Linked DNA regions of Struthio camelus. The protein of the gene in region 2 purifies or fractionates together with the protein of the main gene of each other region. This does not show direct contact. Links are inferred from orthologs where the notes say so. Each region holds a gene or a part of one and is shown on either strand. Other genes may lie near its edges.

What was found.
Region 1: the proteins of BAG2 (region 2) and CEP170 purify together in Homo sapiens (affinity purification with mass spectrometry; 3 studies listed by BioGRID and IntAct, with this or other methods). This does not show direct contact. The link is inferred for Struthio camelus from reciprocal best matches to the Homo sapiens genes BAG2 and CEP170.
Region 3: the proteins of BAG2 (region 2) and EDRF1 purify together in Homo sapiens (affinity purification with mass spectrometry; 3 studies listed by BioGRID and IntAct, with this or other methods). This does not show direct contact. The link is inferred for Struthio camelus from reciprocal best matches to the Homo sapiens genes BAG2 and EDRF1.
Region 4: the proteins of BAG2 (region 2) and HSF2 purify together in Homo sapiens (affinity purification with mass spectrometry; 4 studies listed by BioGRID and IntAct, with this or other methods). This does not show direct contact. The link is inferred for Struthio camelus from reciprocal best matches to the Homo sapiens genes BAG2 and HSF2.

The regions. Positions count from the first base shown.
Region 1 is NC_090944.1:98,413,062-98,420,648, forward strand, and holds the start of CEP170 (centrosomal protein of 170 kDa), read right to left. Parts: upstream 3,001-7,587; 5' UTR 2,799-3,000; intron 1-2,798. Other genes in the region: SDCCAG8 (serologically defined colon cancer antigen 8), read left to right, coding at 3,775-3,841.
Region 2 is NC_090944.1:36,126,997-36,134,081, forward strand, and holds the start of BAG2 (BAG family molecular chaperone regulator 2), read left to right. Parts: upstream 1-4,077; 5' UTR 4,078-4,293; coding exon 4,294-4,442; intron 4,443-7,085. UniProt on the Homo sapiens protein: Co-chaperone for HSP70 and HSC70 chaperone proteins. Acts as a nucleotide-exchange factor (NEF) promoting the release of ADP from the HSP70 and HSC70 proteins thereby triggering client/substrate protein release.
Region 3 is NC_090948.1:4,044,405-4,051,573, forward strand, and holds the start of EDRF1 (erythroid differentiation-related factor 1), read right to left. Parts: upstream 3,020-7,169; 5' UTR 2,922-3,019; coding exon 2,832-2,921; intron 2,114-2,831; coding exon 1,905-2,113; intron 477-1,904; coding exon 410-476; intron 1-409. UniProt on the Homo sapiens protein: Transcription factor involved in erythroid differentiation. Involved in transcriptional activation of the globin gene.
Region 4 is NC_090944.1:66,929,632-66,937,524, reverse strand, and holds the start of HSF2 (heat shock factor protein 2), read right to left. Parts: upstream 3,006-7,893; 5' UTR 2,910-3,005; coding exon 2,742-2,909; intron 1-2,741. UniProt on the Homo sapiens protein: DNA-binding protein that specifically binds heat shock promoter elements (HSE) and activates transcription. In higher eukaryotes, HSF is unable to bind to the HSE unless the cells are heat shocked.

The DNA.
Region 1 (7,587 bases), about 62 Mb from region 2:
TTTCTCAAATTCCAAACAGTCTCCTGGTCGCTACCATACCAGTTTTTACTAATCATACACCAAGTTCTTCAAAGAGGGGGAAGTGCATGCCATTGTTGTTGGTTTTTTTTTTTTGTTAAAAAAAAAAACACCCCACAAATGTTAGAAGCAAATACAAGAATTTCTACAAGTTCTGATATTTGAATATATTCAATGCCTGTCTCCTCTGTTAAGTTTTTCTTAAGCAAAAGTAAAATTTCCACAGATATCCTTGGCTTCCTGAATAACAAAGTAAAAATAATCTGTTTCACCTCCACTTAATTCTGCTTGCCAAAGCTAAGAAGGACAGCTGCCACAAGGAAATAGTCTTTGTGTAGAGATTCAAGGAGATACTACGATATCAGCTTACATTATTACATTTTACCTGCGTTTGCAAGAACTGGAAATTGTACCTCAAAATCAATTTCTGCAGCTATTCATGGTTTAGGCTTTATTCCAGTTGCTCAAGGAAGCTTCCTAGTTCCCATCTGCAAGTAAACATAGACTTCTCTAGTTCAATTTCAAGAATGCAACTCTTTTCTGGACTGTATGTTATCAAGAGAATTGTTAAAAAATACCTTCCTGCCAGGCCTATTACAGCTTATGAAGCCCAATACAGAACCTATTCTAATTTGCAAAACCCAGCCTGATTTGATACAGGAGGGAGTCACCTGCAGGATAGCCGGCACAGATGTCAAAGAAAATGCAGCACCAAGATAAGGTAAGTTCAGTAACAACTTTCATGTCAAAATACTTCTCTCTAAATGTAGAAAAGGAAATATTTTTATCCGATTCATTACAAATGCCTTTTAGATAGTTCATAAGTTAGAGGGGAAAAAAAAGTCTTATGGCTTGCTTTTGACAAAATTCTGTGTATACTCAGCTATTCTTTTCTCTCCATTTAGGCAGTCTTCCTGACCTCTTTCAGAGAGAAAAGAAAACAAATACGTGTATATAAACTGAAAAGTATTTGGAAAATCAAAAAGGGAAGGGAGATTCTTAAACGTATTTATGTTCAACCTTCCCTCTCAGCCCTTTGTTAAGTAAAGTTTAGGATCTTTCATACCTACAGAGCTCAGTTCCAGTAAGACATACTCCTCAACATCTGGACAGAAAATAATTCCCAGAGGAAATTAATCATAGGAAATCACAGCATATTTAATCACATACTAGTTCAGTTTACAAAAATCGTCCTGTCCCACACACCATTTTTCACTGTCACAAAGCCTTGAACAGCACTCCATGGCGGGGGGGGGGGTTCATCATAGCGCCAGGAACAGGCTTTATTCTTTCAAATAAATCAAATACTTCATGAACACCTTTGCTTTCACTGAGAAGAAAATAATTTCTTCAAAGGGCTGATCAGCGCGTGCTATCTGTAACCTCTTATCTAGGTTGTCACAAGAACGCAACTCTTATCTTCAATTCATCAGCACAGCAACTACATCTCCATTTTTTCATAAAACAGTAAGAACAGATGGAGTAATTGTCGGCTCATCTTAAAAACGTTTAAAATAACGTCTAAAAGGCTGGCAACTAGCACAACACCATCAACACTCTTGTCACCGCGAGCTCCTCCCGGCTCGTATACATAATTATGACACCGAACGGCCATCATCCGCGCTTCATCCAGCTGGCGTTTCTCCAGCCGGGCTTGCGAGAGATGCACGGTCACCTCTGCCTGCTGCCGGTGAACGCCAAACGCGCCCAAAAGCGATCTGGAGGAGGCTACTCCTTCCCCCCGCCCGCAGGGCCGGCGGCATCCGGCCGCGGCGGCGTGTGCGCGGGCGGCCAGGGCGGAGGGCGCCGCCGCCGAGCCGCCCCGAAGCCAGCTTCCTCCTCTACCAAACGCTTTATATTTGAAAACCGCCATCGGGTTTTTGTTAGATCCGTAACCCGTTCGTTTCCAGGCCAAAGAGACAAAAGTGAGCCCAGCACTTTTCTTCCACCACCAGGGAGAGGCGGAGATTGGGGGGGGGGGGAAGGTTATTCTACGTTTCCTGCGGGAAGAGTCTCAAGAATGGAAAGATCGAGCATTCGGGAGAGTGTTATGGAACGTAAAAGACCCTCTTTGTTGGGTGGAAACACACAGTAAGAGAGATGGCAAAACCAACAGATCTTCTCCATCATCCCGCTCCAACATCGTTATTTCAAGGGGGCGGCGGCGGGAACACTGCATGTCAAACGAACAGTTATCGGTCATTTTTAAATCTGGAGAAACACACCCTCTCCAGCCACGGGGCAGTTTTTGAAATAGGAGTGACCGGAATAAATAAATAAATAAATGAACAAACAAACAGCTGAAAAGGTCTCCTCGAGACGCGGAAATCCGCCGGCGGGGGAGGGAGGGAGGCAGCCTGAAGAGCCGCGGTGCCCGCAGCCGGCCGGGTGGGCTGGGTGTGTGCCGGCGGCGGGGGCGGCCGGCCGGGCCCCACGGCGGCGGCGGGGCGGCAACGGGCCGGCGGCTGCGGGCACCGGCATCCGGCGGCACCATCTGCATCCAATCTGCGCCGCTCCCCTACGGGCTCGGCGCGGCGGCAGCCCCCCGCCGGCCCCGCCGCGCTGGCGAGGGGGTGGGGGACCGCAGCGGGCACGACGGGGAGGAGGAGGAGGGGGGGGCCGTCCGCTACCGCCCTTCGGCCGGGCGCAGCCCCCCGGCGCGGCGCCTGACACAATAGGCAGCGGGCGGATGGCGGGCAAGCGGCGCGACCCCGGCCCCCCTCCGGCACGGCTCGCACCCGACCCGCAGCCAGGGCGGCAGCACCCCCCTCCCCACTCACCCCTTCTCGGAGGCTCGCCGCGACGGGGAGGGGCCGTCCCTGGTGCCGCCGCAGCCGCCGGTGCTCACTGACCCGGCATCCCCGCGGGGCGGGGGCGGGGCGCTCCGCTCGGTGTCCCTGTAGCAACCGCCCTAACGTTATTCCCTGCACATAGCGGCTAACGGGCAGAGCGGGGCACGGCACTGCGCAGGCGCCGCCCGAACGCACACAATGGGGGGGGGGTGGGGGGAGGCCAGCGCGCAGGCGTCAAGGGACGAGCGGCGCAGCGACCGAGCTGCGCCTGCGCCAGCTTCAGACAATAGGAGGGTGATTGCACTCTCCGCGCCGCCTGGCGGGCGCTCACTGCGCAAGCGCCAGAGTACGCGGTGGCGGGAGGTAAACACAGCTTCCCCCCCCCCCCCGCCCCGTCCCCTCTGGCACGACTGGACCTGCGCTATACCCAGCCACTGCGGACCCGAGAACGTAGGCGGAAGAGCGCCCTTGTGCGCAGGCGCGAACGCGGCCGCAAGCCACAACAAAGAGGAAAGCAGGGTGTGAGATTGCCCACCGCCCGCTGCCGGGTGGGGGAGGTGGGCGGCCAGCAGAGACTACACCTCCCAGGGAGCACCGCGCGCCGCGCCGCCTGCTGGGACTTGTAGTTTCTCTGACGGCCTTGCCTCACGCCGCGTAGCTCGGGGGCGTGGCGGGGCCCGACCGTTGCTACGCTCCGCTCTGGCTGGGGGAGGCCGTTCGCGGGTAGCAACGGACAACGCGGAGGAAGCGGAGCGTGTCCCCCTTGCGCATTGTGGGAGTTGTAGTTCTTCCGGGAGCCTCCGGCGCTTGTGGCGCGCGGGAAAGCGGAGCGGCTCGAACTACCGTTACCGGTCGCCGTTGCGGGGTGCCGGTGTGGCGGGGCATCGCCTGGTGGTTCCCACGCGCTTCCCCTGTAGTGGAGCCCCGCCGGCGGCTGCGGTGTCCGGCAGGGACGGGTCTCCTCATGCGGGCGCCCCGGGGGGAGCCCGCCCTGCAAGAGTCCCTGGAGCGGTACCAGAGGCGCCTCCGAGGTGAGCGGGGGCCGCCGCGGCAGGGCGGGGGGGTCCCGGCCCGGCTCGGCTGGGGCAGCGCCGTGCCGTGCTCTTGGCGTACTTGTGGCAGGAGCCGAGTTAGCTCTTCTGGTGCTCCTTAAACCGGACCTCTGGCTAGAGCAACATTATATCGGAGTGAGAATTTGTTTTCCCTGTAAAAGCGCATCTGTACAACGGCCTGACTCGAACTTGTGAGAACATGTCAGCCGTGCTCGTATCCCCCCCCTTCCCCCGCCTTTTATTTAATCAGTGCGCTTTAACCCCAAATTAGACCTACAGCCCGTGTGCTTCGAGCTTCTGCAGTTTGAAGCCAATTAAAGTGTGACTGGCTAGCTTGTTGTTGTTCTCTTCTTCCCAAAAGTGCTTTGGGGAGTTGGAACTTCTATAAAAATCAGAACGAACCTAAAAATACAGTGTCTGGCAAACTATAAGGTAGGGTCATGTGATTACATGTGTGATTGCATTAGTTCTCTTTAACAAGTTGTAGTGCCCCTGGTGCTGCTTGACCATGAGCACTCTGCTGGTCCACTGCAACAAAAATAGTCTTGGTTTATTTTGCGTTGCAACAGACTGCTAAAGTAAACGGTCAGATATCACACCTTAAATATAGTTAATACTAGCCGAAGTAGTTGTCTGATCATAACCTTGGCGTTAATGGGGCTGCTGCCTGTTTTGTGTGCTTTTCTTTGATTTGTGCACAGATCTTAGCTTTCACTGAAGTGTAAAATTCTAGTCATAAAGAAGAGGCAGAAAAATGATTCTTATGAGCGTGATCATTCCCACATCATAAACTGTATTCATACCTGCCTTCTTATCCAAGAAGCACTATATATGCAGAGAACATTTTTCCCCTCTTTGCTATGACAGCTGAGCGTTACAAGCTTTCAGACTACCTCTGACTGGTAAAAGTATGTAACCAAATCCTGAAGAAAGCCAAAAGATAATCTGTGGATATGCCACCCTGCTTAGCATTAAAAATATTGTGTTCCAGATCAACACATCCTGAATTCATGTTTTATTAAACAGCATTTAAAGATAATGAAAATAAATCTAATTTGTTTTCTGATGCTAGTGAATTACATGAACAATTGCAATATAGGAAACATTATTGCAAGAAGATAAAACAATGGAAATATTTTTTAATAGCCACTTGATACTTTATTCTTAGCAAATACTTCACCTTACTCTCTCAAAATAGCATCAGTTGTTTGTACTGAGGATGGATCTTGCTTTGTTCCAGAAGATACAGCTTTGAAGAATTGTCTCTAGTTACTTTTCCAGGAGTATAAATGGGTCATACAGATGTTGCTTGGAAGCTACAGATAGAACAGTTAGAAGTACAGAGATTGGAACATGTATTGAAATGTGTAGAGTCCCTTTGTGCTATGTAAAAATGATGAGTAAAAGTTATGACTTGCCATGCATAGGCACAGTTAATCTTTGAACTTTATCACATTTCCTTTTTCTGTGGGCCAGTATGGAAAACCACTGGATAATTTTCAAATGCTCAGTTTGGACTGAGGCAAAGGGTTTTTGCTCTGACTTTTTATTGTTCCTATGATATGACTGATTTTCTGTCAAATTCTTTGAGGATTAAACTCTGCATATAATTAGAGTCCATTCCTTTAGACTGTGATGAAACCAGATGGACTGATTATTCAGGTTTTTTAAAAAAAACTACAGTCGAACAACTACAGTATTGCTGCTTAAAAAAATCATCTGGTGGCATAATGTCTCTGCTTTATTACAGAGTACTGTCATGCATAGAGGGATAGCTTTGTTTAGAAAGGCCGCGCTTGGGGTTTTTGTTTTCTTTTGTTCATTTCTCCTGCATTACTAGAGGCATAAGTACAAGCTGAAGTAAGTAATGTGCTGAAAATGTGTGGTTTTAACAAGATTTTTGCCTATTTTCAGAGCACTTCTGATTATCTAGAATACTTTTTCTGGATTGTTTACTTGTTTTTATACAGATCTCAGAAGGAGATACATACGCTTTTACTGAAACATCTTCTGAATTGTTGTTCTTGTTCTGTGATAGCCTAGGAGGGTGACCTACCTTTTCATTTTAGTTGCAGGCCAGTCCATGATGGTCTTTTGCATCTCTGGTAAGTCCAAAGGGTTGCATACAGGCAGTGAGAAAGGCAGATTTCCTTTGTTCGTGTTCATATAAGGAGATTTGTTGGTGTCCTTTAGTTCCAGAGTGCCCAGGCAGCGTGCTGTGCTCAGTATCCGTCCTTGTAGTTATGGTCATCCAGCGGTTACGTTTTGCTGCCTGGAGCCCCTACAGGATGTGATGTTCATGGCTTTCTTAGAGACTGACAGCAGTGGAAGCCAAAGGCCTTTGGACTCTAAGCCTATTCAGGCTAATTTCAGGGTGCTCAATATTTCTTTATATAAATGTTTTTTTCTGTGTATGAGTAGCTTGGTAAGGACTTCTTAGTTCATTCCTTTATTCAGACTAGTCTTATTTTGAAAATATTCTTTGTTACATTTTGCAACAGAGTCTGAATATTGTCTTTTCTCTTAGGTCCTTTGTTGTGCATTTTGAGTGATCCAAGGGAATCTCTCTTTTTCTCAACTAGAAAACCTGTTGAGGTGATAGGGGAGTGTCATATTCATATCTTCATAGTTATGTAGCCTTTTGATATATGGAGTTGAAGCATGTCTTTGTACCAAGTTATCTGGATGTTGTCAATGACTTCTTTAACTTTCCTGTGAGTTCAAAGGGCCTTTCTCAAGGATGTTGCATCTTGGCCTGTTTAACTGTGTGCAAGAGTGATATTAAAGCTCCTCATATCAAATGAAGGCATGCATGTATTCTCTTCATACCACTTTCCATTTTTCCTGTTTTTGACTAGATTCCCTTACATTGGATCCATTATGGTTTTTAAATCACTTTGGAACATTTGAGCTTCTGGTGGCTGTTTCCCTTCAGTTTCCGCACCATTCTGGGAAATGTGGACCTCTGCCTTTTCCCATGCGGTATAAAGATAGGACCAACTCCATAGATCCAGGAGTGCTTCTCAGTAGGTGGAGATCAATAGGGTAATATGCAAACATAATCCCAGTGCGGGGAATGTAACATGGATTCCATTATGTTTCTCAGCCAACCTCTTTGTTTCTCAGTGGTGTACAATTTTTAACTCCTTTGACCCGAAAAACATTCTTCACGTCGTTAGCGCTAGCAGTAGTTGATTTACCGAATGTCAGTAAAGATCATTATTACTTCATGAGTTGCCGAACCTAATTCTTTACCCATGTTTCATGCATAATTATGCAGTTTGAGACTTTTCTACAAATTCTTATAATTCCAATCCAGATTCTGCAATTTTAGACAGCATGCCTGCAGCATTAATTGATATTTTTGACATGCAGCATTCTTAAACTGCTTGTCATGCTTGACCTATGTCTGGCTGAGACATAGCAACAGGTTCTCTCCATTCTTTCTGGAGATCAGAAGAATAATTTTGTGGCCTTGTTCATTGAGGTGGAAGGCTATTTAAGTTCTCAGAGAATAGCGTTTGCTCTTTGAGGCAGTGTCCTTTGCTGTAAAGAGAGATCCCTCGGAGGACTATTACACAGGATCCCCAAGTGTGCACTAGAATCCAGGAAACTTAATCAGGTGGCCAGAGGACAGAAAGTGAGACCAGAAAACCTGACCAAGACATAACTGGACTTGGAGGTCAACGGAGAGGTTTCTGATGAAGTAACAACCATCCTATAAC
Region 2 (7,085 bases):
AACTACTTGTCTTGCATCATAGTGATATATATTTGGGTGATGGAATAATTTTCTTAGCTCATCAAGATGTACAGAAATGACTACTAGTGGACCTATAGTGGTCACATCATTTAAGTCTTAAGACACCTCCGTGGTAGGTCAATCTGCTAAATATTATGTAACATGCAAACCTTTACTGAATCTTTACCAAATATGGTTAAGTTTATAGAGGTATGAAGTCACGCCATATTCTTTCTTAAAAGGAAAGTGTTCTATCATGTGCTTATGCTGTCCTAACAATGTTTACAATGACTGCTGAAAGTTGGAAGGAGGTGAGAAGGATGGATGATGAATTGTCTTTACAATAATTTAGAAAAATTGGCTGACATTAATGCAAAATCCTTTCTGGCAATTCTTTCCAGTTAAGTAGCAAGACTTAAATGCAGACTATTAAAATCTGCGTTTGCGTGTTTCTTTGACAATTCTAAACTGCCCCCAAGTTTTCTGCAGAAATTTTAATTCAAGAATTAGAGCTCAGTTTTAACATTGTGGGTCAAATAATATGATTCAACATACTGTAAACATGGGTGTAAACAAGCCAGAAAATTCATAGTAAGTGGCAAGTATGTGCAAAGTTTGTGCCCAAATGACAAAGTTCTGTGTGTGCAGAAATTTAAATGTAAAGTTCCCCTTGTAAATCTGTGCAAGTTTCTTTTCACTGACTCCAATATACTACTTTCTGGGAGTCTTCTAGTGGTTTTTGCTGAGAGCTCTTATCTAAAAGCTGCCTAGCATCCACAGCTGTAAAGAATTCACTGGGTCATTTGCTAAGCAATTTTCCTCTCCATGAGGAAAAGAACTACTCCATGCCCTGAAATGGTCGTACTGGCTTTTAGATTGATTCTGAGATAGAGGAATGAGGCTTCCAACAGCCTTGGGAGTGCAGGGCTTGCCTGCACAGTAAGATGATGGTAACGTGATGGGCAAACACAGTGCTAGTGTTAATTAGCGTTAGTAACAATAGCAGAAACAACACAGTAGCACAAGTTTGGCAGGTGCTAAGGGGCCAGTCTACTATAATACTAAGTACAGCTTTTGATAGAAAATCATACCCTAAAACTCATGTTGGCCCGTCTTTGCTGCTGTTGTACTGTGCTTGGGAGACTGAATGCTAGCTGTGGTTGGCTGCCCAAACCACAGCTGCATCCTCATGGTATGTACAGAAGTTGTGTTTCCACAATGCCTATGTACAAAGAAGATTCTCCAGATGAAGTTCCTGTAGAAGGGAAGAAAAGAATCCAACATGGCGTTTCTTGGGTGTGGACTTTCTCTTACATCCTATTCCATGGCAGCTCATAGGTAAGTGTTAGGGTATGTCACAAGGTATGGGGGGTTTGGAATAAGGTGAAACTGAAACTAAGATGGTATTTAGCAGTGTGACAAGTAGTACTGCTTTTGGTGTAGATCATCTGACTTTTACAAATGTCTTAGGTGTCCACGGCCTGGGAAGGTATATCTTTTTGCTACCATAAAAGATCTTGTGCGCATGAATGCGGATTCTCTGCCAGTCGCTCTGTTCTGCAAGGTGCGTGCATCTTTTATGATACCGCCATTTAAATGAGGGACAGCCAGCTACTTGGTCGCTGAGCCTGCAGTACAGAAGGCCTGAGATGCATACTTTCTCCATGTCAATCTCCCCATGGGTGCCTGCAGCTGGAGCAGGGCTGTGCAATCCAGCCGGGTGAACATAGCTGCAGACTAGACTAGGAGAGTGAGGTTGTCGCAGCAGCAGCAATCCTGACCCAGACATCACCTTTCTTTGCCACAAATCATAAGGAGGAGGATGAGATCCGTGCTGTTTCTGACAGAGCTACTCTTCCTCCTCCCGTTTTCTTGCAGCCCTGAAGGACCTAATTCTTGCCTTTTGTGTCCCCTAACTTCTTGTCCTAATTCAACTGTGAGTCACTTCCTTTCTCCAGAGACTTGACTACCATCTTGCTAGCCCAGCCACCTATTATTTCGGGAAAAGTGGTGACAACTGCTCCTTTATGTATCTCGGCAAGGAAGAAAGCACCTGAGGGAAAATAGGGGCAATCTACCCCCCTCTTGGGTAGGAAAAGCAGTTTTTGCAATCCTTTCTAGTTTTTAAATGGCAATTTATTCTCGACTGCACAGGCAGCAATGATGGGTGAGGTTTGTTTCAAACAACTATTTCTGCTTTTGAAACTCATTTTGCTTCCACTGTTTCAGCTCTTCTCAGTTCCTGGATGAAATGCTGTTTTGCCATCAAAAAAGACACAGTCATGTGTGATACAACTGCACACAACTAACAACCGTTGTGCCTCTTCATTTCATTGCACATTCTACCTTCAAAAATTTAAAACCCTGTACAAGGAAAAAAAATCTTTCTAACCATTTGGCTAGTAGCAATTTTGGTTTTTGCTTTTTAAACACGACCTAATTAATACTTCATAAATTAGCATGGGAGGAATAGAAGGATCCTAGGAAAAAAGTTTGCAATTTGTGTCACATTAGTCCCCATGTTTCTGTTTGTATATGTTTGGGGGTAGGAAGTAGTTTTTAATAATTTTCTGAATAAACTATAGTGAGATGGATTGAACAATCGCTGAACAATGAAATTATTTCTATGAGCTCACAGCCATAATCCTTACCTACCCAGCCATGTAAAAAAAAAACAAAATTCAGACAATTAATTTAGCAAGAGAAGTGGGACATGATATCATCTTGAACGGACAAGCCTGAGAAAATAGCTATAACCAGAGTAAGCATTCAAAACGTTATCCCTGTGCAATAAAAACCCTGTTAACTGGATGCCAAAAATTGGTCTGTTAGAGAACTGCAGTATTTGCCCAAACGTGAAATTAGGGATAAGCAAATTCCTTTTTAAATAATCACAGTAATGGCAAGTAAGAATTGCTGGAGCCAACAGGAATCTGCTGTACAGAAGTACAGGTTCAAGAAGTATAAAAGATTTCTTTCTGTGGCTTAAGTTTCCTAAGTTAGTATGATGTGCTCTTGTGAGACAGAAGTTATCTGGTTTATACAGAGAAGTTAAATATGATGTGGAAAAAGTCATTACAAAATGTAGATCCACTACCTTTGCCATCACAAAATAAGTTTTTTTTTTCTTTTGGCACAGCAAAAAACAAACAAACAAACAAACAATTTTCTTTCTAGTAAGCCTTTTTGTATTACCTTGGACAAAAACGTTTAGTAGAACTGTTTTCTCTTCTGTGGCTAACCAGATGACTTAGTGTCAGAAAGATGTACTGTATCGATGCAAGTATCTTAAGTATCTTTTTCAAGACTGCTGTTCAGGTTCTGTTTCTGCTTGTAGCAAGTGCTGTGGGTGCTTTACTCTCATCAACACTTTTTTTCTCCTTAAACAGGCTTCTGGATTTTCAAGGCACTTCTAGCCTTCCTCTTCTCATTTCTTCTTTACGCCTTCAGGAGTTTCATCTTTGTATTTCCAGCTGTCTCTTTTGATTGATATACATATATATATTTAATTAGAGAAAGACCAAACCGATCAACCATATACAATAGTCTTGGAAAGTAAACCCTCATACCATCTAGGTATCTAGGCTACCATCTAGGATCAGGTTAATATAGGTGTTAAAAACCTTACCCTTCCTTGGGCTCTGCTTTAGCGAGAGCCAAGGAAGGCGGGGCTGTGTCGGGGGGCCGCAGTGGCTCCCCAGTCCGCGGAAAACTGTCGGGGAAAAGCAGGGCTTCGGCAGCACTGCCCTGTGCTAGCGTAGGTGGTGACTGGGCAACGCTTTCAGACACCGGTGCAGCACGGCATGCAGGACAGCGTTTAGGTTTCGGGAGGGAAAACTCTTTTCTCTCTGCGGATTTAATTAAAACTCGTGACTTAGCTGTAGCTCCTTGATTCATCAATAAATTACAGCATGCGATAGCCTCCGCGTTTCTGCTGAATGCGCGATGTACGGAACAGGACCCGGCCAGGGGTGCGACACGCTCCTCGCCCCGGGGTTCCCGGGACGAGACGCCCCCTCCCCTCGGCCCGGCTCCTGCGGGGGGCCAGGGCGGGCCCGGGAGGCGGGGAGGGCGGGCGCCCGCCCGCGGCGCTGCGGGGCCGCCGAGGTGAGGCGAGGTCCGCGGCGCGCTGCGTGAGGCGGCGCCTCTGCGGCCGCGGAGGCGGGGTGGCCGCGGGGGCAGGCGGCGGGCGGGCTCCTTCTTTGGCCATGAGCGAGGTGCCGGCATTCGGCCGCCGCCGCCTGCGGGACGCGGGGAGGGAGCGGCCGCGCGGAGGAGCCGCCGGCGAGTGCTATGGCCCAGGCCAAGATCAGCGCCAAAGCCAGCGAGGGGGCGCAGCAGCAGCAATCCGGCGGGCAGCTCCGCGGCCGCTTCTACCGCTCCACCTCCATGGCGGACCGCTCCAGCCGCCTGCTCGAGAACCTGGACCAGCTGGAGCTCAGGTAGGCGGCCGTGGCGGGCCGCTCGGGGTGGCGACGTCCGGCTGCGCGGCCAGCCGAGGCGGCAGCCCCGGCCGGGCCGGGCCGTCCCCGCCGCCGCGGGACCCGGCTGGGGCCCCTCAGGATGCCGGCGTTGCAGCCGTTGGCGCCCCCCGCGAACCGTTGCGCCCCTCCCTCCTGGCGAGCCGTTGGCGCCCCCCGCGAGCCGTTGGCGCCCCTCCCTGCCCCGAGCCGTTGGCGCCCCTCACGAACCGTTGTGCCCCCTCCTCCCTCCCTCCCCCGAGCCGTTGGCGCCCCTCGCGAGCCGTTGCGCCCTCCCCCCGCAGCCGTTGGCGCCCCTCGCGAGCCGGGGAGGCGCCGGGAGGCCGCGGCCCGGACCGAGGGGCAGGTGGTCAGCTCGGGGCGGCGGAGGCGACGCTTTCTGCAATCATCAGTGCCGGAAAAAAGACCCCCCCCCCCGCCCCAAGGTTGAAAGTGACAGTTGGTGCTCGAAGGCGAACTAGCGCGGCCGGACGCTGGTCAGGGAAGGCGCAAAGCAGCCTGTTTTGTTTTGTTTTTCCGCGTGTTCCCCCGCCGAGCCCGGAGCTCGCTGCGCGAAGCCGCTCCGCCGCCCTGCGGCGTGGAGAGCCGGCGGCGCCGGGCGCTGTCGCTGGGGCCTCGGTGCCTCGCAGCAGCCTCCGAGCCGCCGCCGAGCGCTGGGAGGGCTCAGACCGCCCCGGAGCGCCGCTGCCTCGCCGGTCCGGGCGCTTGTTACCCAGGTCGGTGCCGGCCTTCCTGCTGAAATCCAGTAAATACCTGAGCTCTGACAGGAATAGCCATTCTGCAGCTTAATTGTGTGTGTGTGTGTGTGTTTCTTAATTAATTCCGAATATGATCGGTGTTTCATTGTTGTGTCAGGACGCGTCTTGCCTCCTCTTGTTATTTAGCGTTCCCCAAATAACCTATTTAAATTTTTTTCCCGTTTGGTCGTATAAGAGATGTTTCCATGCCTTTGATCAACTTCCTTGTCTTCTCAGCTCTCTCTTAATTATAGTGTCTTTTCTGAGGTGGATAGATCCAGTCGGTAATGTGAGCGTACCACTGATTCACCTAATGGCATTGAAATTTCAACACACCCTTTGTTCATTACAGCTGCATATTGATCAGAGGCTTTCGCAGAACCACCCATAATGTTTCTAGGTCTTTCCCAAGTTGCTGTAATTAAGAGCTCTGTGAGATACAGAACTTATGTTTTTCCTTTTCTATGCGCATTACTTAGCACATAAAGTTCACTCTTGATTAATGCAATCATATTATTCTTTCACGTAGGTTGATTAAATCTCTTTGAAGTTCTTCACAGACTTCTTTGGATTTGACTAACCAAAGTCACTGTCTGCAAACTTTTAGTCTCACTGCTGACGTCCTCATCCGGTGTGTGAATATATAATTACAAAATATTGTGCTAAATAAGCAGTAAAACTATGCCAAAATGTTTTTTTTTACATCTGCTGAGCAACTTAGTGCAATAAAACAGACACTGTGGTTAAGCAAAAATTAAACCCAAAATTAAAGTTTTCAGTTTGTTTTGGGTCTTTCAAAGAGGCACATTTCTAACTGCAAAACTCTTACAAAAAGAGTTAAACTATTCTGAATACAGTCAATTAAGTTTATTTTTGTGTTTTATTTATGTGTAAGTAATCAGCGTGCCTAATTTGAAAACCATGTGAATGGCAGGAGGAGGAGCTTCCATACTTCTTCTCCAATGTGTTTATTTTAGCTATAGTCCCTTGAGATGTTACTTGTAAATATAATAAGTGAAAATTTTGTCAAAGTGAACTATAGTCTTTAATTAACCCCTTTTACATTCCTCATTTGTCAAGTTGCTTAAGCTTGGCTGAACCCCTCAGCAACCCTCATTCCCTGAGTTTTCTGATCTTAAACAGCCTTCTCGTGTCTATGTTCCCATCCACCACGAGAACTTTTTTCCCAATGATAACAAGGTATTTTTGTCCCATATCTGCTGACCTGCTGGTACACCACTGTAGGGGTGTGTAGTAGACTCCCTCTAGGTGTTTGCAGAGTAGTTCTTATTTAAATCCCACTGGAAAGGGGGATTAATGTAATTGGAGTGGCATAGCCCTTATCTGGGAAGGAGGTAGCACTATACCAGTATAGCCGTACGTATGTGGCCATATAACCAGGAGCGTGCATTTCACAGCCTGGAGACAGTGACTGGAGAGGGGCTAAATCCCCTCAAACATTCTTTCTCTGTACATCAGTGCTTGGTTAATTTGCCCTCAGTCACGAGGAGCAAAGTATGACTTTTATTTGTAAGTGGAGAAACATATTTGAACAACGTATTAATTGCTGCTGTGATTTGAACAACAGTAGTGGAGAAACAGAACTGCAGAAGTGTTTGAGCGTGTCATTCTTCACCCCTGGATGGTTTCCCCGTTCACTCGCTGTGAGGACAAGCTCCCAGAGGTGGGAGGTAGCGAACTGAAATGAAGGTCAGAGGCAGAGGTATGGTCGTGCAGGACGAAGCTGCGTAGCTCTCAAGGAGTTAGTCCGACCCCACGAAGCGGCGGTGCAGGGCAGGTGGTATTGTGCTCAGCGTTTGTGTTGTTCCTAAAGGCTTGGCCCTTTCTGTTGCCCTGGCTGCCCGCA
Region 3 (7,169 bases), on a different chromosome or scaffold from region 2:
TGCTGAAGGTGGGAGGAAGTCTCTCTCTTCTACGTGAGAAGGCAAACAAATAACCCTAAGAGCAGCAACAATATGCATCAAATAACCAATTTCACAAACACAAGGCTGACCTACATTATAAATTGACACATCACATTCACTGACCTGCATATTTTAGCTAAAAATTATTTTTAAAATTTTAAACATTATTTTTAAAATTGCACTGGAATTATGTTTTTATCTATACTTCTTTTATTCAATGATCACAACTCCCTTAGACAACACAGCAAAAATTAGATCATTTGCTTGTACTTCATTAGGGCACTTTTCCTTTTCCTCAAAGGACACACAGGTCATTCTTTGACAGTGCCTTAACATAAGAGTTATACACCATAAATGTTTGAATCATGGAACTGAAAGTTATGCATACCTCTGAATCAGACACAACATCCACATCATTTCCAATTGAGTCAATGAAGTCATACGCCATTCCAAAGCTATTTAGAAAATATTACAAGTTAAGACATGAAGCGTGACATTAAAAATACAGCTACTTGTTCTCCAAGCATGCTCAGCTTCTGAAAGCATTTTCTTCATGAAAAACAGAACCTAGCTAAACATTACTAGCTCTAATGAGATCAGAAGTTAATTAACAAAATCATTTTGAAGTTCCACAAGTTCAGTAATACTGTTGGAATTATTTACATTCAAGTTCAAGACATTCCAAAAAGTAGGCTAAATTTTTTTTAGAAAAAGCTAAAGAAGTCAGAAAAAAATGAAGCTGTCTTAACATACACATTAACAGAGGAGCTGGGTTCTACAAAATGCCTTCCTCTCCCCTCCATTTTTTTTAGTAAAAAGTAGTAAGTCAGTTTTGAAAAGTTTCTCTCTTTAAAGATTTAAGCATGCTTTATTCCTGAATTTTGTCAGCTGTGGTTTTATTTTGCTTCTGTATAATGTTTTTTTTCCTCCTGTTTTCAACACAGGAACTTGGCTTACATATTTTAACAAACATATCCTTATTTCTTTATCTGCCCTTATTAATGCCTCTCTAAATTACGAGCTATTTAAATTGGACTATTTCAATAGTCAATATTGTTCTTTCAAATTAAACCAGGAATTACCATAACATAATAAAATACATGATATATAAATGTCTGAATTCATACCCTCACTCTTAGGTTTTAATATTGCCACTAGAGACAGAGAGAACAAACTGCCTCTATTGGACAAACAAACACAGTATTTAAAAATTAATAAAGCCTGTAGGAAAAACATGTGGGCGCACTCAAAAATGCACGTCACCTAAAATCAGTTAGGAGGATTTAAACACGGATCTCCTGCACACTATTGATTTTCACTAACGAGTTGACTTAGTATGACTTTGCTTGCTCAGGACAGAAGCTAAATCTCCTGTCTAGAAACACTCTGAACTCACCTCATCCAACTAGTTAACAAACATCCCTACAGAAAGATAGCATTGCTTTTTAGTTTTACCACTTATTTTAATTCCCTTGCATATTCTTGACAGGACTATGAAGTTTCTTTTTCTATTAGTTAGCCAGTTCTGATTTCTAAAGATTAAAACCAGGCTAGCTGAACCAGTCTGGTTTGATTTTGACCAACTGACAGGCAGCCAATCACAGATCAATAGGAAGTCAGTTTGACTGTCTCATGCAAGGTGTGTCAACATGCATTTGACAAAAAATCCATCGGCATTACTAGCATCCTTAATCATCTATAAAGGAGAGAAGACAGCACACAGGAAAGAACCAAGGAAGAAAAAGAAGGGGGAGAGTGGTGAAGTAAGACATATTTACAATGACAAAAAGTATGTACAATACTTTGAATTACAGGGGTCCAAGTTCACTGTTAAATTTATTCTTAAGAGTTTGGGAAAAAATAATAGAGCCTGATGCATTTACCTTGAGAAGGGTTTACTTTTCTTGTTGTTGCCAAGAATGGTTGTACCTGCCGGTCCTAGCTTAGCGCTTTCACGTAACCAATTTGCAGGTGGGAGTTTCAAATCGGTCTTCTCTTGAAGACGGGCAAACGCCGCTTGCGGGGGGGCAGACGAGTATTTCACCACAGCACTGCTTTTTACCTCATTACCTCCGAGAAACAACAGCGACCCCTAGTTTTCAAAGAAAAATCAGCCCTTCATTTATGTAATGCACAAGTTAAAGCTATCAGATTTGGTTTTTGCGTCTGTTCACCTCCAGTGAAGGTGAGCCGTTTCTCAAAGGCAAGCAGCCGAGCTCGCAGCTTCGCTCCTCCGCCCTTCGCGCACGCCCGCCGACGTTGAGCCCCGACTCACCTCAACCCCACGCCGGCGAGCGGGAGCGAGGTCAGCGGAGCTGCCCGCCGAGCTCAGCCGGAGGCCAACACGCCGCTCGCCCTACGGCCGCAGAGGCGCCGCTTGACCGCCCGCAGCGCCGAGGCTGCCGCACGGGCCAACCTCCCCGCCCCGCCTCTCCCCGCCAGCGCGGAGCCACCCGCCGCTGCCTCCCTGACGCGACCAGCTCCGACCCGACGCACCTCCAGGGGAAAACGGATCGGCGGGCCGCCACCGGAGCGAGCACGCCGTACTTACAACGCAACAATAAAAACACTGTTTATAATTACCGCTTAATCATAACTAGCGCGCTCTGTGCCATACTTCAGCCCTGACAATAACGCTCCTTATGGAGGAGGAATACCTATCAGGCAACTTCAAACGCTCCTCTGGGCTGCCTTTACGGCACGGGCCCTCGGTGCGCTCCGCGCCGCGGGCCGCCCCCCGGCCTAGCGCAGGGCCCGAGGCGGGGCAGCGCCGCAGCGGCGGCCGCCTCGCCTCGCCTCCCCTCCGGTACCTGCTTAGGCTCCTCCGCGTCTCCTCTCGGCGAGGCAGCGGCCCCCGCGGCGGCGGTGGCGGCAGCCCCGGCTGCGCAGGTCTCCTCCATTTTCCGCCCGCCTCGCGGCGCCAGCGCGGGCGGCGGCCGGAGCCGGGCGGGCCCCGGCGGGGGGAGGCTGCGTCTGGCCGGGCCCGCGAGGGGCGGCAGGCCGCTCTCAGCGCCCGCGGGGGCAGGGGAGGGGCGCGCCGGCACAGCCACCTCTCGCGCGCTTTCCCGCGAAGTCCCAGGAGGCGCTGGGGGCGGGGCCTTAACGGGGGCTGGCCAATAGGAGAAGGGCGGTGGGTTGGGTTTGATGGAGGGGCGTGGCTTTAGCGGGGATTGGCCAATAGGAGAAGGGCGGTGGGTTGGGCTTGCGGGAGGGGTGGGGCTGTAGCGGGCGCTGGCCAATAGGGAAAGGGCGGTGGGTGGGGTGCGAGGGCGGGAGCGCTGAGGGCCGGGCGTTGTCGCCCGCCGCCCCTCGCTCTCTTCGTAGCTGCCCGCCCGGTTTCGCGGGCAGCGCGCGGCTCTGCCGGCCCAAGGGCGGCTCCCTCGAGGTAGGGCTGAGCGGGGGCAGGTGGTCCCGGCGGGGCCGCGCGAGCTGCGCCATCAGCGGCCGCCCCGTCCCGTCCCGCCCCGCGGGCGCCTTCCCGCGTGGCTGAGGTGTTGCTGCGCTGCCTCGCCCCTACCTTGGAGAAGCACGTACCCGTGTTAGATGAGATCCTGGAGCAGGCCAGGAGGGCTCACTGACCTGATCCTCTAGTCAGGAAATCATGCAAAAGCTGGCTGGCTATCAAGATCTTCCTGAGCTGAACGTACAGCAACTGAGCATGGTCTGCCATGGTTTCTTTATGGGGCCAGTTCCTATCCAGTCACTGATTCTCATGAAGTTTGTGTTAACTGCCTTTGAAATTATTTATTTCTTTCAGGACTGAAAGCGTCCTGTAGATTTGAAAATTATTAGGTGGCCTGGCAGAAAGTACAGTTGCGCAAGCCTTGTTTCCCTTGCCAACCAAGCTAAAATATTCTAATCTTGCATAATTTCACTAACATAAAGCATATCCTTTACCAATAACAATATTGAAAGTGTAGCAATACACATTGGTATGAAAATAGATGTATACAATCTAAAAAAAGCATGACACTATTTTAAAGCAGTTTTAGTCCAACTTTTATTACATTGGATCTTTGCCTACAGCCACTGCAGACTTTGGCCAAACTCTTAATTCAGTTATTTCTTGCTTGCGGTCCTTTGGAATCCTTTTATCATGTTAGGAAGGGATCTTTCTAAGTCTGATCCTTAAACTTTTTTTCAGTTTTGTTCATATCTCAGTGGAAAACAGCGGTAAATACAAAACAGTGTTGCAGTCCTTCAGGACAAAAAAAAAGAGAATCTATAATGTAATACTTTTAAAGCAAAAGCAGTGTCTGTTTGAGTTTGCAAGAATAGATCCCAGGTTATTGAATCTGAAAATAGGTAAAATGGAATAAAAGCAAATCATAGGTTCCTCCTGCCTGCCATGCTCTTTATTGTCCTTCTCTAGTTCTTTCTGTCATCGACTTCCCCTGTCTGAAGAATAATATGAGTTATCTTCATAGCCTTCTGAGCTGATCCTGGCACATTTAGACATCAGTACAGTTCATCATACTCAAGGCTAAGATGACAATACAGTGACAAAACTGTTTCAAAATAGGCAGCTAGTTTACAGTTTGAGGGGTTTTTTTCTTAACTAAAACTACATTCTCTGGAACAGCTTATTTTTCATATGCAAGTTTTATATCAGCTTCTGTAAATCATGATAAAAGTAGTTTATCCAAGTCATTTACCTCCTGTTGTACTTGAAGGTAACTTATGGTATGGCATCATTAATAACAACAGCATCCAAACCATTGCTCTTCCATGTATTACCAAAACTTCCAACAGATATCTACAGGAACAAAGTAGGTCATTTAGAAGAAAGCCTTGAAAAACGCCTTGAAAGACTGCCTGATGACAGCTTGTACTCTGAAATATCATTACTTCTGTCTGATAGTTAGTAAGATGGAAAACTAGAGTATGTTCTCACGCAGGAGCTTTGAAATTTCCTTTAAAACAAATGCTTGTGGTTGTCTGAATCGTTAATATTTAACTGATATAAGTACTGTATTTTTTCTTGTTTGATTTACCAGCTATAGTGTTTGATTCCCACTTAAATTAGCCTTGAATATTTATAGAGTGGAAAACAGGCCTATGCCATTTGCCATGCAAGCATCATTCTCTGGCTAGACTGTCAAGGCTCAGGAGGCAAAGACTTGGTTTGTGCTTGAATTAGGGTGAAGTTCAGTCTTGCCTACAGCTCGTTACACTTAAAGCAATGGCTTTGTCTCTCCATGCCTCAGCTTTTCTTTCTGTGAAATACATGAAACTGTACATTCTCCACTTTCCCAGCCATTAAAAAAAAATTGTTACAAAATACTGTATGTAAAAAAATGGCTGCCATATGCATCTTTGTCCACAATATGAATTAACAGACCAAGGAGTTTTCTGACCAACAGGCACATGGCGCAGTGCAAATTGTCTCCACGCTCCAAAGCTGTCTGCCTCCAAACAGGGTATCCGCTTCCGAACTGCCTAATAGGTTTCCCTGAACCATACCCAGCATCATCTCCGCAGTGCTTGCTGGCAGGGAGCATGCTAAGGGCATGTTTCTGCTTATATAGTGCAAGACTAAAGTCACCATATTCATTATTTATGTAGCTGTATTAAGTATCACTGTAGTTTCCATAGAATCTTTTTTTAGCCTTAATTACTTTTATATTATTTACCAATCTAATTCAGTCTAGCACAGTCTAGCTACTGTGCATTTCATATTATGTGAATTCTTTATATTCCAATGACTAACAAATAGCTCTGACATTCAGGGGTAGGGTAAGGATTGCTTAGGGAAGCTGTACACCAAGCAAAATATTTGGAGGGGGAAAAGTACAGTTTGGGATTTAAGAATTCTGGATTATTTCGTGGTTTTACCCCAAACTATTACTAATTTTGAACAAGAACCTTAAGGGGAAGTTTTGCGACTAATCAGGGTAAATAAGGGTGTCAGGATCTAGCACTTATATATATTTCAGCTCATTATCCTGAGGGAGACAGGGATATCCCTTTTGTATTACCACAAAGGTACTGTCTTTGGCATTTTGGGGGTATCTTTACCCAGAAGTATAATTTTCTAATAAAAAGTGCTATTTTAAGCCAAGGTTTTCTTTTTAACGCTAGGATTAAAGGGCAGAAGCATAATATGATTCCATACTTTTTGCAGAGGTGGAATTAAAATCAGAGGCAATATGCTAATTATATCTTAAGCCATCTCTGATGGAGTTGGGTCTTAGAGCTATTAAAGTAAGGACAGTTTTTTTAAGGAGCTGGAGTAGTTGCTGGAGAGTAAATTGTTTTACCATATCAACAGTTCTTTCTCCACACTTTCAGCAATACTAGCCCATACAGCTGTATACAAGGAAACCAATTTTTACAGCTGATAGCACAGAATTACAAGCTAATTTAGTAAGTCAAAAACAGATTGTATACAGTAATGAAAGACTGTTACATTTGACTATAATGTATAGAATTATATGCATCACAATTTTAATTTTATGAAATTTAATGAATTAAAAGATTCATTCTATCAAAATCACTAAGACAAAATTTAAGATTTGTATTTATGTTATTCATATACTTTAAATAAATTTGCATTCTTAAAAATGAAGATGAGAATTTAATGATGAGAATTTAATTTGTAGGGGACAACATTCTCAAGTTAGAAAGAAATGGGAAATATTTAAAGAAATCTTTTAAAACAGTTAAACAATGAATACAACATTCCACACTCACACATAAGAGAGTTGTTACATTCTAACGTCAGAGAGGCAGTAATCACTCTTGATGCATGATGATAATAATAGCTATCACCAAGCCATTAAACCTGCTAATGTTATTCTCATAGCACAGAAGTGCAGGTATCTGTTTGCCTAGATTTAACTACATGTGAAAAAAACAACAATCAAACCCCCTGTCTTTGTCCATATTAACATGAGGGGTAATTACAGTCTTAATTGAATGCTTTTATAGTAATTATTTTAAGATACAGTGGTAGTAGGTGCTAAGTATTTCCTTCCTACGAAGCAAAACACTATGCAGATGCCTATCACCTTACCAAGGTGGCACAGCCAGCTCTCAGTTTTATGTTGTGATACTGTTCTTCTTAAACTCCTGGAGTTAATGCTGTTTTTGACCCACTTTCCTTTGTTCCTCTCCTATTTATAGACTGAAACTTACACACACAAGTG
Region 4 (7,893 bases), about 31 Mb from region 2:
CAACGCTCACCTGTTGCTCCACTAAGACAGGGGAGAAACCTAGGTTTAGCTATCTGGTAAAGATATAGATGTGTTTAGAACATTGTAAGGATAAACACTGTCTGAAACCACAGTTATTATTATTGTAAGTGTACTGTTCCCTTACAGTTACATTTACATTACTGTACTCTGTAACCCACAATACTGATATATTCAAAAAGATGCAATCACTTGTATACCAAGTTATCCAAATACCTTTCTCCCATACCAGAACTGTTGAAGCCTGATAACATCTGCTGTGATTAGCAGATCTTGCTTCTGCAAACTGCCTCAGTCTCCAACAATGCCACAGTCTTTACTTTTAACAATACAGAGACACCTAACAATGGCCTTGGCCTGCTTTCCTGAGGTAAGTATATACAATGAATCTAAAATGGAAAATGAAGCATCCACTAAATATCTTGCGTGTTGAAAACAGCATTTGTTAAACTAGAGCGCATCTGAACCTTTATAAACACCCTTAGCATCCCTCCTCCAGGAGGGGGGAAAAAAACAAAACTAAAAGGCACTAAAAGTAAAGCTGCTGTCATCTAGCTACACTCCATTTAATCTCTGAAAAGTTCTGGCTGAAGTTACTGATAACTCAATACCCGCAAAAAGTTTAAGAAGATATTTTAGATATTTTTATCATTGCTTGAGCACTTAAAATAGTCTCAGGTGAAAGATGCCATCTCAATACGCATTGAGAACATCTATACAGTTTAAGAGTGGAGGCAGAAGTCTCAAAAAAAAAAAAAGTACAGGAAAAATACCTCAGATATAGTAAAACATGGTTATATCAAAGAATTGCTTACCATTTCATCACAAAAGGGTTAATGATGTTTACCGAACCAAAGTAGCCAGCTCTTCCCTACACTGTAAGAAGATGGTTACTTCCTGCCTCCCAATATTTTAAGATACTTAAAAATCAAGTTACTTTGCACTCTGATAATGTTGTTTTATTATTTGCTGCAATGGCCTCCATTTTAATATAACAGAGTCAAGATAAAAAGGATGTCCAACTCGTTCTTTTTTTTTTTTAAATAATCAATCTAAACACATACAAATCAACACGGTCACTATATAAATTTAATCTGCAGTTCCTAGGGAAAGCATTTAAGTTATTGTAAAAAAAAAAAAAAAAAGGAACAAAAACAGAAGTACATCAGCTCTTGTTTGCCTCCCCTGCCATCACCACTGCTGGTACCTAATATGGTTTTTTTTCAGAAAGATGCACGTGATCTAGCACCTGTACACCACTCCCCAGCAAAAACTTATGACCACCTTTGCAAGTTGCCCAACCCTAGGGCCGTAAATACAAGCTTGCTGGCGGCGAGGGAAGGCGCAAAGCGCGCACTGCCCGCCCAGAGGGGCAACAGGCAGCCCGGGCGCAACGGCCGCTGCCCGCCCCACGTGACCGGCGCGCCCCACGTGCTCAGCTGCCCGCCAATGAGCGCGGGCTCCGCTCCCGGCCGGCCGGCCATGCCACATGCTGCCGCCGCCGCTAGTACCTGGCGGCAGGGGTAAGGATGCGCTAAGGCACATGGCAGGCAGCTGTCTTACTTGGGAGGGCGTAGGGAGCACACCACGCGGATCTGCAGAAACCACTGACCTCGCCATACCTTCTTCTTACGCTGCGAGAACTGAACTGGTTTTATATGGGAAAGGGAAAGCACTATCCTTCGTGTTTTATAATACAGCAACTGTAAATATCCCTTATTTTCTGATTTTCTGGCTGTCCTTACGTACAGACTTACAATCCCCGTTAGACAATTACCCACTTCACGAAAAACAGGCCTACTTATGAACTTATTAATGAAAAGTCCCACCCGAGTTCTATATTACCACTATTATAGCTTAAAAAAACACAAAACAAAACAAACCACCAACAACAAAACCTTACACCACCTAACACCGGACCGTGAAACAAAACCACTCCGAGATCCCCGTCCTCTATTACACAGCCCCCCCTCACAGCTCAGAGCCACCCTCAGAGCACCCCAGAGGGTGCAGGAGGCCCCTTGAAAGCTCCAAGCCTGGCGAGTCGGAGCAGGCAAACAGGTCCCTTCTTAGCAGCCAGCCGACCACGCACTGCTTTTAACCGGGGGGGCGTGGGGGGGGGAAGGGAAAGAGAAGCAAGAGACCCGTCCCCCTTGCAGCCAGGGGCGTTTATACAACACGCGGTATCTACAGCCTAGAAAGGGGCAGCCCTTGAGGGCCCCACCAGGGAACGTGGCCTCCCTCCAGCAGCCACCGGGTCTGCGAGAGCCGCGGCGGCCCAGCCACCCCCCCCCCCCCGGCGCAGGAAGCCCGGCGGGGCCACACGGCGAGGCCGGGGTGGTAGTGGGAGGGGGGCGATCTCCCGCCCGGCGGAGGGCTTGGCGAAAGCCAGACCAAGCCAAGCGGGCGCGCCCGCTTTTTTTTTTTTTTTTCCGTTCTCCTTACGTGCGCCGAGACCCGCGCAGGGCGGCCCCCCGCCGCGGGCTCCGATGCCCGCCCGGCCTGCCCTCCCCTTCCCTGAGGGGGGGGGAAGTTCGGGGGGGGGGGGGAAGGGCAGCCTACCCCTCTCACCCCGCCGCGGGAAGCGGGGGCCGCCGCCCGGCCCAACGCCGCCTGCGGGGCGGTGGCGCCCCTCTCCCCCCCCACCCCTCCCCCAGCCGCAGACGCGGCGCGCGCGGGGGCGCAGCGGCCCCAACGGCCGCGGCTCGCGCGCCGCCGCACACCTGGTTCCAGGTGATGAGCTGGTTGCTAGGGGCCTCGCCCACCAGCGCCCACAGCTTGCTGAGGAAAGCCGGGACCCCCGCGCTGGCGGAGGGTGGCTGCTGCTGCGCCTGTTGTTGTTGTTGTTGTTGTTGTTGCTGCTGCTGCTGCTGCTGTTGCTGCTGCTTCATTGTCGCTCGGGAGCCTCCTCGGTCTGGAAGGGGGAGGGGCGGAGAAGGAGGAGAACCAACGCGACCTTCCCTCCGCCCCCTCGCTCGCCCCGTGCGCGCGCGCATGCGCCTCGGCCGCCCGCCGCATGCGCACCGGCCCGCCGCACGTGCGCGCGCTCGTGCATGCCTGCGCCAGCTTCCCCGCCCCTTTCTCCCCCTTCCCCCTCCCCTCCCCGCCCCTTACATAACGGGCCCACGTGCACCGCCCTCACGTGTCACAACAGCGCCCGGCGCGCAGGAGAGCCGGAGGAGACATGCAAATGAGCCAGGGGCCACGGCCAATCGGGGCGCGGCCCTCTGCTCGGGGCGGCAGGGGGGAGCCGCGGGGCCGGGGCCGCTCTCCGGCGTGCCGAGTGCTGCAGCGCTCCTGGAGGGGTGGTGTCACGCCTCGTAACGTGGGGCAAGAGAACGTTTTGAGTGGAAGCACCTGGAAACAATTGTTTTTTAAAAACCTATGTCGCCCCTCCACATACACACCCCCCCCTCCCCCTCCCCCCACTTCTTCTACAAACCAGAGCGTGTTTGCACGTGGCAAGGAGAGCTCATCCTGCAAGGGCCACGCGGGTCTGGCTCACTAAGGGACAGAGCACCTGCAGAGCAGATGCAGAGCTTGGCTCCTGCCTTAGGCTCATGTACAGCAGCAATACATTTAGAAGAAATAGAAATTAAAATGATAATACAGATAAGGTGACAGAAGCTGAGCCTACCTTAGCAAGATGACTAGAAACAGAGCAGTCGTGCAGCGAGTCCCCTGATTGTTTCCATTTATTGCATGCTGGTACACTTCTCAAAGAGATTTTGGTGTTCATAACCTGGGTTCCTTTCACAGGAAAGGAAACCAAATCTGTTCAAATCCCTTCTCCCAAAGCCACATGAGGACCACAGGGCCCTCCTCCAACAGGTACTTAGGGGTTCAAGAGGCAGGGGTGCTGTGTGCTGAGACCTTCCCGCCCTGCTGTGGTTCACATGCAATATAGCTAGCTAGCCAGCCAGCCTTGGGCACACTTCTCTTTACCTACCCTTGCCTGCCAGCCTCCTGTATTGCAACAGTGATCTATCTATTTGCTGTTCCTCACACACTTCTGGTTTGAAATCTCTTCTTTAAGACAGGCAAGACATGACACCAGTAGAGCAGCTTATTTCTCCTACTCCTTTTCAGGCCTGTTATTTCTCAAGTCTTTTCTGTTATGTTGATTAGTAGCTCTTCCACTTCCAGGAAGTTCAGAGCAGTGCAACCTGGGGCCAGGAGAAGTGGCACACCTTACGAGGCTAGAGAGTCTCTCTACTGGCAGGAGCATGAAGTCGCTCATGTGATGTCTGCCACCAAGTGTGAGAGGACAGGTGCACCACTGCATTGCGTCAAGGTTATGAAGATGAAGGCAGCATTCTTGAAGACCTGGAGTAATAACTGCAGTTGTGGGTGGCATGGCACATTACAGGGTGCCTGAAGAAGTCTTTGGATTGGGAGTTTGCCACTCAGGCAGCAACTCACTGTGACTGTAGGTCACTACACAGGAGAATTTGGAGGAGCACACGCGCTCCACTTTTGCATCTCTGACTCCACACAGGCACATCTAGGACACCTCTTCAGACCACTGTCCACCACCGCCAACCTCAGCATCCCCCCATGCTAGAGCTCCTACTTCCAACCCTACTAAGGCTAAGGCCTTTCCAAAATGGTCTCTATGGTGAAAGTGCAGAGGGCAGGTGTACAAATCTCCTGAAAAGACTGCTCAGAGCTGCACAAAAGCAATGTATTTTGGCAGTCTAACCAGAGGGGCCCCTGTACTTTAAAAGATACTCCTTTGAGCCCATGAGCTACGGGAGAAATCTGCACAGCAACTACCTGTGTCAAAACCCTAATGCCAGGCTCCAGTGCGGAAAACTTCAAGTACCTAGCTCAATCCCAGCAAATCTTGCATGAGGCAGGACCTGATGATATAGCCCTTTCCTTTCCTTAAAATTAGCTGTTATAAGATTATGAAGTAATCGTGACACCATATAAAATAACATTGCAGATCCAATCACTATCCCACAACCACAAGAACGATAATGCGAGGAGGCTGTCCTGGAGGGAGCGTTGCAGTTCTCAGGAGCAATGTGATATTTTGGATAAAGAGGAGGGAGACTAGGATAAAAAGACTTCTCAGTGGTGTTGACATCAGGTTTTGGCCCACCTGCAGACTGGCAGCAAGAGGCTGGAGTAGCAGCTGCTAAAGGGATCCAGAGCCATCAAACCTGCTCTGAGGCCCATGTTGGAAAGCAGCTGTAGGAACATTTGGAAGAAGCTCAGCTTGGTGCAACAGCAGGAGCTCAGCAGCATCTGACAGCCAGTACGCATCAGCCTAGACAAAGATGGCCAGGGAAGACAATCAGATATCCAAAAAAAGGGTGACGGAACAAATGAAGCAGAAAAGACTTAAGGAGATACAGGGGAACATGAAGAAACCTTTCTTATATGGTGAGGAAAAGGAACACCACATATTTCAGGAAGCTCATCTTTTTTAGTGCTCACACGTGGATATTTCATGGAAAGGCACATTATCCTTCCCCCTGCCATTCAATCCACTTGAAGAGATGCAGCATGTTTGCAGCCTTCAGAAAGAAAGGAAGTAACATAAGCACAATCCTTGCTGTCCCAAACACTTGCAGAGAGCTGCACATCACTTGCTACAGAAACTGGTCCCTGTTGTTCCAGTCTGTATGGAAAGGCCTTCCTGTATCCTCAGACAGGTCATGCAGGACAAAGCAGGCAACCATAATTCAAAGGGTACTAGGAGCGTCAGTATCAAGCCTGGTGCTCAGGGTTCATCCTCTGTCAATAGAGGACCAGACATAACTTCTACCTCCACCCTGCATATAGGAAGAGCATTGTCAATGTCAGAAGATGCAGCAACACAGGAGGTCTGCCACAGCTCTCTGATGGTGCAGACGGATACGTACCCAAACACGTCAAACAAACCTGTCCCTTCTTGTAAAGGAAGGGCCATTATCTTCAGAGATGCCAAGGTGAGACTTACAGGTGTCATGAGTCCTTTTGATAAAGCCTACTAAGATGTCCATAAATATCCCTTAACAGCCCAACAAAACATGCAAGACAAGGAGCAGCAGCCCTTTCTATATAGTGTCTGGCATACAGTGGCCGTGACTATCAACATCGATTGTGCGAGACAGGTTAAGGACAGCACAGTGCTTCTTTGGAGGACCTTCATTTGAAGCAAGAGATTATGTGATTCCTTCCCTTCAGAAAGCACTGAACAACATGTGTAGACTGCATCTGAAGCACCATCATCCTTGCACAAAACGTACCAGACATGAAGAAGCCTCAACACTGTCTACTCTGATCTACTGTTCCACTTCCATTTTGACAAGTTACTAGCTATGTCTAAATTACACCTATATTAGCAAGAGACAGTCGCCTCCTCTGCTATGTTAAAAACTGCTAATGATTGTAACAAACAAACATCTAGCTCAAACTAACTTTGAGTTCAAGTTCCTCAATTTCTGATGACATTTTCACTTGAAATAATTCAAGCACAAAATTATCCAGCTTTTCAAAGTACACCAATTTAAACCATCACTTCTGCTACCACTTTGCCCTCAATCTGTTCTCACCTGTGACTGGAATCCACAGAGGAGAGAGAAGGTTAGCAAGGTCTAAGGGGCCAGTTTACAGGTGCACAGGGCATGGTCTTCTACCCACTCCTACATTATCAGGAAGCTCTATTTCATTAGAAAGGCTAAGAAATAGCTAGTTAGCTGAAAAACACGGGCACGTATATGTTGTTTAATTTGTTAGGTACATGATCTAAGAAAAAGAACATAATATAAGCATATGCACAACAAAAACACTCGGACTGATTCTCAAGAATAAAGTCAGGCAGTCCTAAGGGGATCTCTTTCCAAGGCAAATAATGTTTAGACTTCAGACCTATTAGCTATTGAGTCACTTAGGAGAAACCGATTCAAATAGCAAGGAGATCAAGGAAAACTGCCAGCCTAATGAATGGTAAGAATACAGTAAAAATTAATCTCCGACAAAGTAGGCTGAACAACTTCAAAAGCATCTTTAATGAAATTCGTGCTTTAAGAAGCTATTTTACAGAACTAAACTAGCATGTTCCCAACAATATGAATGCTTCACAAATGGTTCACAATTTTCACAGCAAATGACAGTGTTATTCATGTTTTGCTTTGTTGAGACACATTGCAAAACAGCAAACTGAACCTTAAAGTCTTCCTGCAAGAGATGATGTCAACTTGCTCTAAGAACATACAGTATGCAAAGCACAATGGCACAGAAAAAAAGATATCGAGAAGTATTAGTCTGGTAATTTGCAGGAAAATAAGTTGAAGTATTTCAATTTCAAGACGCATTATACAGTTGTTCCCCCCCCTTCCCCCCCCCCCCAAAAAACAAACATTAGTGGGCTACAGCATTCTGTAACAAACTAATTGTCATTCATTAGATCATTCCTGGGAAGAGATACTACAGGTAAATTTATGGCTTAGCCTGTGCTAGTAGAGCTTGCCAGTTTTTAATCTGGAGCTGTTTCACTTCCCAATATCTTCACAAACAGTGCTATCCATCATCTTTTTCTGCTCTGCAATAAAGTTTTCCTCCACTCAATTTGCAGAAAGCTGACAACGATCTCAGTTCCGAGATAGATCAAGCTATTTACATCTTTCACAATACTGTTCTCACTCTCCCTTCACCAGAAGGGCATCATAACACTGTAAAACTGGGCATCATGAAATTTGAAGAATTTGGGGGAACTCTCCCCATCCCTTCACTAACCCCTGAAGCCCCAGCAGATTTCATATTCCAACAAAAGGTGGTACTAAGGCTTAGGAGGTATTGTTATTGCCAGGCACATGGGATCTTTTTCTGTTCCTCCCGAACCTCACGTGCCCTTCCCAGACCCACACTTGTTGGGGTTCCAGC